Linked DNA regions of Macaca fascicularis. The protein of the gene in region 1 interacts with the protein of each later gene in a biochemical or structural test. Links are inferred from orthologs where the notes say so. Each region holds a gene or a part of one and is shown on either strand. Other genes may lie near its edges.

What was found.
Region 2: the proteins of USP5 (region 1) and CACNA1H form a complex in vitro, tested with the Homo sapiens proteins (2 studies listed by BioGRID, with this or other methods). The link is inferred for Macaca fascicularis from reciprocal best matches to the Homo sapiens genes USP5 and CACNA1H.

The regions. Positions count from the first base shown.
Region 1 is NC_088385.1:7,789,796-7,793,601, forward strand, and holds part of USP5 (ubiquitin carboxyl-terminal hydrolase 5), read left to right. Parts: coding exon 1-112; intron 113-939; coding exon 940-1,011; intron 1,012-1,617; coding exon 1,618-1,705; intron 1,706-1,832; coding exon 1,833-1,958; intron 1,959-2,418; coding exon 2,419-2,572; intron 2,573-2,909; coding exon 2,910-3,084; intron 3,085-3,806. UniProt on the Homo sapiens protein: Deubiquitinating enzyme that participates in a wide range of cellular processes by specifically cleaving isopeptide bonds between ubiquitin and substrate proteins or ubiquitin itself.
Region 2 is NC_088394.1:1,949,367-1,952,733, forward strand, and holds the end of CACNA1H (voltage-dependent T-type calcium channel subunit alpha-1H), read left to right. Parts: intron 1-53; coding exon 54-214; intron 215-1,033; coding exon 1,034-2,047; 3' UTR 2,048-2,823; downstream 2,824-3,367. Other genes in the region: TPSG1 (tryptase gamma), read right to left, coding at 2,847-3,367.

The DNA.
Region 1 (3,806 bases):
CACTCAAGCCCCTGTTTGGGCCTGGCTACACAGGCATCCAGAACCTGGGTAACAGCTGCTACCTCAACTCCGTGGTCCAGGTGCTCTTCAGCATCCCTGACTTCCAGAGGAAGTGAGTAGTGCTCTCCTTCCCCAGGCCCCCTCCTGGTCAGCACCCTCTGGGCATACTCCCTTCAGCTGCCCTTGGCACCTCTGTGTTTGATTCTAATCTTAGAGTAGTTCCTATCAGCTAGGTGTGTTGGCCCATACCTGTAATCCCAGTACTTTGGGAGGCCAAGATGGGAGAATCGCTTGAACCCAGGAGGTTGAGACCAGCCTGGGCAACATAGCGAGACCCTGTCTTCTCTTTAAAAAAAAAAAAACAGAATAATTCCTGTCACACTCTGGCTGACATGCTGTAAGGGGAGCAAGTTAGGGAGCTGCACCACCAGCACCCCAACACACAAACCCCGCTGATAGTGCAGAGTGCCAGGTCCCCGGGCTCTGTGGCCTTCTGACAGACTCAAGGGTTAGCAGATGGTCTTTATTTTAGGCCAGTGACCTCAGATGAGCACCTAACATGGACATGTAGCACTTGGGGAGGAAGGGGGCTTGGTACACTAAGAAGAAAGGCAGGTTCTCAGCAGAAATGAGTTTACCTTTGAATTTGGGGAACAATTAGAATGTGAATGCTCAGAATATGTCAACAGGTTCTGTCTAATGGAACATGAACTGCCCTTGTCCTCATCCCAGGCTGCCTCCCTCCCTGGCTCCTGTGCCGCCCAGCGTGCTTACACACTGGACATAGTTGAGAAGGGGAGAACAGGCAGGTTGCTGGAGAGAAGCGACTCCCCACTCTTGACGGGAGCCCATTCACAGAATTAGTAAATGTTTGCTCCCTTCCCTTTTCCTCAGAGCTCAGGCCAGAGCCCCTCCAACCGTCCTTTCCTTGACTTTTAGGTATGTGGATAAGCTGGAGAAGATCTTCCAGAATGCCCCGACAGACCCTACCCAGGACTTCAGCACCCAGGTGTATGTAACCAGGTCCTATGTAGGAAGGCTGTTGAGAGTCATGGCCGTATACCTTCCTCCTCCATGACCGCCTGGGGGGCACAGCACTTTAACCCCTGGCCTTTGTTTTTTTTTTTTTTTTTTTTTTTGAGACGGAGTCTTGCTTTGTTGCCAGTCTGGAGTGCAGTGGTGCGATCTCGGCTCACTACAACCTCTGCCTCCTGGGTTCAAGTGATTCTCCTGCCTCAGCCTCCCAAGTAGCTGGGACTACAGGCGCCCGCCACCACGCCCAGCTAATTTTTAAAATATTTTTAATAGAGACGGGGTTTCATCATGTTGGCCAGGATGGTCTCGATCTCCTGACCTCGTGGTCTGCCCACCTCAGCCTCCCAAATTGCTGGGATTACAGGCGTGAGCCATCATGCATGGCCACCCCTGGCCTATTAGGAGTATTCGGGTGACTGTCCTCTGGGCATGTTGTCTGTCTTGAGCTGGGTTCCTGTGGAATCTAAGGTTTTTCACATTGTCAAGAGTTAGCTAGGGAGAGCCACGAGCAGGGGGTTGAGTTGGGGACATACAGGGTCGTTAGTTGACTGAAGTGAAATGTTTTCTTGGATATTAACGCAGGGCCAAGCTGGGCCATGGCCTTCTCTCCGGGGAGTATTCCAAGCCAGTACCAGAGTCGGGCGATGGGGAGCGGGTGCCAGAACAGAAGGTGCGTCTAGGACTCTGTCCCTTTCAGGCCCTGGGATTGTGGGGAAGCTGAGGTCTGGGAGATGTCTAAAGAAGGCCCCGGGATGACCACTGAGCCCCAGCTGAGTCCCTGCCCTGACTCTTCCCAGGAAGTTCAAGATGGCATTGCCCCTCGGATGTTCAAGGCCCTCATCGGCAAGGGCCACCCTGAATTCTCCACCAACCGGCAGCAGGATGCCCAGGAGTTCTTCCTTCACCTTATCAACATGGTGGAGGTAAGGGCTGGGAAGATGGCACACCCTCATTTTCCTGCAGTTTACTCGCTCTCCTTCCTGCCCATTTCTCCCTCTGTCAGCCCCAACCCAGTCCCATCCCTGAATCCCTACGGTCTATGTCCCTGTGAGCAGTATTTGCACCTAAGGAGGATAGTGAAGGTGATGATCCTTACCCTTGATGGGCTGGAAGCTCAATTCAGATTGCGCCCAAAGACAATGACATGAGAATACTTACTGCTCATAAAGAAAAATACAGGCGTGTTCCAGCACAGTCCCTCAGTGCAGGGATGGGGCCAGAAATGGGAGGGGTTGGTGAATTAGGGAAGGTTTCTGCTCTGCTCTTATGTCCCTGAGTTCTGAGTGGTAGTCTGTCTTCTCTCCCTGACTCTCCCATGAACCTTTCAGGCCCCATTCTGTTCCCTGGCTGCCCAGACCTCCCTACCCTGCCTCTTTCCCATAGAGGAATTGCCGGAGCTCTGAAAATCCGAATGAAGTGTTCCGCTTCTTGGTGGAGGAGAAGATTAAGTGCCTGGCCACAGAGAAGGTGAAGTACACCCAGCGAGTTGACTACATCATGCAGCTGCCTGTGCCCATGGATGCAGCCCTTAACAAAGGTAGGTTGCTCCATCAGCAAGGCCTTGGCACGGGGGGAGGCTAAGGTCTAGGAGGAATGCTTGGGCACCTGATGGGAGCAGAGTCCATGGAATGCCCTGCTCCACCACCAAGGTTCCAGTCTCGGCCACCAGGAGTAGGTAGGGTTAACCTCGCCCAGTGGACTCTCAGCTTGTTAGCAGAGCTGCGTGGAAACAGAGGCGAGACATACTGGACGTGTGTCGGGGTGCCTTGGAAGGGTAGAGGAGCTGAAATAGGGACACAGAGCCAGTAGGGAGAGGCTAAGAAGGGAAAGAAGCAGCACACTCTGAAGGATCCACCAACCCATTCTGTCACCAGAGGAGCTTCTGGAGTACGAGGAGAAGAAGCGGCAAGCCGAAGAGGAGAAGATGCCACTGCCAGAACTGGTTCGGGCCCAGGTGCCCTTCAGCTCTTGCCTGGAGGCCTACGGGGCCCCTGAGCAGGTGGATGACTTCTGGAGCACGGCCCTGCAGGCCAAGTCAGTAGCTGTCAAGTAAGTCCTCTGGTTGGGGCCTGAGGCTGTGGGTCTATGGCACAGCCATCCCAGAGGATATTTCTGCCTCTTCCCTGTTCTTTCATCCCTTTGTGGTTGGAATCCCAGGGTTGAATCAGTTGGGCTGGTAATCTGGCCCTGATGGAACCAAGGGGCCCTGGTAGGGGGAGACACAGGTGCTGACTGCATCTGTCACCTTGTCCTGCCCCAACCACTCCCTCTTCTCCTCCGGCACAGGGTCTCTTTGTAGCGTAGCCTGTCTTCACTCCCCCTCAGTCATGGCGGAGCACAGGCACTTAGGGTCATCTGTGGGCAGAATTTGGATTGCCAGCAAATAGCCCCACTTTGTGCCTACCCATTGGCACCTGGTACGGGCGTGAGACCTGAGAAAGGGCTTTGGTCTTGGGGAGTCAGCTACCCAACCTTTTGCTGCTCCTGCCAGTGAAACAGCTCTTCCTCTGTGTGTGGCTTTTTTTTTTTCTTTAAATAGAGACGGGGTCTCACTATGTTGCCCAGGTTGGTCTCTAACTCCTGGGCTCAAGCAGTCATCCTGCCTTGGCCTCCCAAAGTGCTGGAATTGCAGGTATGAGCCACCACACCTAGGCATTTTTTTTTTTTTTTTTTTTTTGCTCACAGCCTTCCTTCTGGCTTCTACTGCTGCTTGTTGGCTGAGGACAGGCATTAGACACCTGCCCAGGGAAAGAGAAGAATATGGAGGATCT
Region 2 (3,367 bases), on another chromosome or scaffold:
CCGGGCGGGAAGGCAGGGGCAGAGTTGCCAGCTTAGATTCTCCCCTGCCCCAGGCTCCGTGGCCTCTGCACACTCGCCGCCCGTGGAGTCCTGTGCCTCCCTCCAGATCCCATTGGCTGTGTCGTCTCCAGCCAGGAGCAGCGAGACCCTCCACGCCCTGTCCCCTCGGGGCACAGCCCGCTCCCCCAGCCTCAGCCGGCTGCTCTGCAGACAGGTAGGAGAAGCTGTTGCCTGCAGTGGAGGCTGGCGGGGGTGGGGGGCTTACAGGGATGCCCTCTCTCATCTGAAGGACCAGCAGATGAGGACAAGGCCCAGGGAGGGTGGCACTGGGTCCTTGGGGCTCTAAAGTTTTCTGCCTGCTGCTTGGTGGATCTCGGAGCATTGGGCCCAGGTGGGTCTTCAGGCCTGTGAGCCTGTCTGTGGCTACAGAGCTCCTGGCTACGGGGACCCGAATCTTCTTGGAACCACAGCCTCAGGCCCCAGGGTGGGCAAACAGCAGTTTCTCAGGCCCACCCCATGACAGGCAGACGGCAATTTTCCAGGCCCCATGTGGGCGTGTGTCCCATGGTGGGCAGACAGCGGCTTCTCCGGTCCTGGCTTGTGCTCAGATGTCCCAGCCTCACCCACTTGCAGCCTCAGCTCCTCTTCCTGCCTCTCCCTGCCTCTTGCTGCCCAGTGCAAGACCCCCGTTCTGCATGGGAGCAGTTAGGAGAGCCCCATCCTGGGGGTGCCCAGCTGGGCTGCTGGTGTCCCGGAGTGGGGAGGTAGCCTCAGCTCTGTGCCCCTGGGGGCCGTGGCATCTGTGCCTGCAGAGTAGCGGGTACAGGCTTTCCCCAGGAGCCTCACAGGTCAGGAGTGAGACTGGGATGTCCACACCAGTGGCTTCCAGCCCCATCTCGAGGGTCAGGAGCCACCCAGGGGACCTGCCCACGTTGGCCTCTCTAGGACCTGGATGGTGAGGGGTCCCCGGGCCCCGGCCACCGATAGGGCTCTCCCAGGTTCGTGCTCCTCCCTTTGCCTCCACATCCTACAGGAGGCTGTGCGCGCTGATTCCTTGGAAGGGCAGATTGACGGCCCTAGGGACACCCTGGACCCTGCGGAGACTGGCGAGAAAACCCTGGTGAGGCCGGTGTCCCAGGGGGGCTCCCTGCAGTCTCCCCCACGCTCCCCACGGCCCGCCAGCACCCGCACCCGGAAGCACACCTTCGGACAGCGCTGCGTCTCCAGCCGGACGGCAGCCCCGGGCGGAGAGGAGGCCGAGGCCTCGGATCCAGCCGACGAGGAGGTCAGCCACATCACCAGCTCCGCCCGCCCCTGGCAGCCCGCGGCCGAGCCCCAGGGCCCCGAAGCCTCTCCCGTGGCCGGCGGCGAGCGGGACCTGCGCAGGCTCTACAGCGTGGACGCTCAGGGCTTCCTGGACAAGCCGGGCCGCGCGGACGAGCAGTGGCGGCCCTCGGCGGAGCTGGGCAGCGGGGAGCCTGGGGAGGCCAAGGCCTGGGGCCCCGAGGCCGAGCCCGCTCTGGGTGCGCGCAGAAAGAAGAAGATGAGCCCCCCCTGTATCTCGGTGGAGCCCCCGGCGGAGGATGAGGGCTCCGCGCGGCCCCCTGCAGCGGAGGGCGGCAGCACCACCCTGAGGCGCAGAACCCCGTCCTGTGAGGCCACCCCTCACAGGGACTCCCTGGAGCCCACGGAGGGCTCAGGCACCGGAGGGGACCCTGCAGCCAAGGGGGAGCGCTGGGGCCAGGCCTCCTGCCGGGCCGAGCACCTGACCGTCCCCAGCTTTGCCTTCGAGCCGCTGGACCTCGGGGGCCCCAGTGGAGATCCTTTTTTGGACGGTAGCCACAGCGTGACCCCAGAACCCAGAGCTTTCTCTTCAGGGGCCATAGTGCTCCTGGAACCCCCAGAAACAGACCCTCCCATGCCCGTCAGTGACCCCCCAGAGAAGAGGCGGGGGCCGTACCTCACAGTCCCCCAGTGTCCTCTGGAGAAACCAGGGTCCCCCTCAGCCACGCCTGCCCCAGGGGATGGTACAGATGACCCCGTGTAGCTCGGGGCTTGGTGCCGCACAGCGCTTTGGCACTGGGGTCTGGGGGCCCCGCTGGGGTGGTGGCCCAGGCGGAGCCGTGCGTGGACCCTGACTTGGGTCCCGTCGTGAGCAGAGAGGCCCGGGGAGGATGACAGCCCAGGCCCTGGTTCTCTGCCCAGTGAAGCAGGAGTGGCTGCTGGGCCCCGCGAGCCCCCATCCGTTCTGGTTCGGGCTTCTTGGAGTTTTGCTGCCAGCCGAGGCTGTGTGGGCAGCTGGGTCAACGTCCCGTCGTGAGAGAAGCTGTGTTTGTGGGACGAAGACCAGGCACCCGCCAGAGAGGGGAAGGTACCAGGCTGCGTCCTCTCAGGCTGCGCATTGTTACAGGACACTCACTGGGGGCCTGGGCCCTTGCCGGCAGCAGGTGCGGCCACCGCGGCCCAAGGCCACCTTCACTCACAGTCTGAGTTCTTGTCCGCCTGTCACGCCCTCACCACCCTCCCCTTCCAGCCACCACCCTTTCCGTTCCGCTCGGGCCTTCCCACAAGCGTCCTGTGACTCTGGGAGATGGTGACGTCACATCACTAAGGAGCCGACTCCGTGGAGTAACGCGCCCGGCACCGACGCATATCGGGCCTCCCCTCCCTCTGGGGGCTTTGGCCGCGAGATTCCCGTTGACACCTTTGTTTTGTGTGCTTTTAAATTCAGGTTAAATGTTGCAATAATCTGATGCGGAAGACTCAGCTTCTCAAGGGAGAGGGAGGGGGCGGAGCGGAATAAATAGTAACTTATTTAAGAAATGCGCTTGGGTTCCTGCCATCGGTCAGGCGGGGAAGGGAGCGCCGTCCCCAGGCGGGCGCAGCAGGCACTTGGCCAGCAAGACACAGGAGACTACCAGAAGGAAGAGTCCGGGGAGGAAGAAACCAGCCAGGAGGGGGAGCCTGGGGTACCCAGACCCTGGGCCCCCTGACGCTGTGGTGTGGCGGCGGATCCAGCTCACATAGGCGGGGACACGGGTGTAGACCCCTGGCCTGTTGGGGCGGCCGCAGCCCTCACCCCAGCTCACAATGCCAGCCTGCACCCAGGCACCGTTCACCTGGCAGACCAGGGGCCCCCCGGAGTCATCCTGAGGACAGAGAAGGCGAGCATGGGGAGCCGAGAAGGTGGGGAGCCCCTCCCTGGGCTGCACCCACCCCCGTCCTCTGTCACGGCCTGGCAGGCTCACCTGGCAGGCATCCCCGGGGCCCTGGGCGCACAACATGTCGGGCCGAAGAATGCTGCCCCCAGGGCCAGGGTAGTCCCGGCGGCAGGTCTCTGTGTCCACCACCGAGACTTCTACCTCCT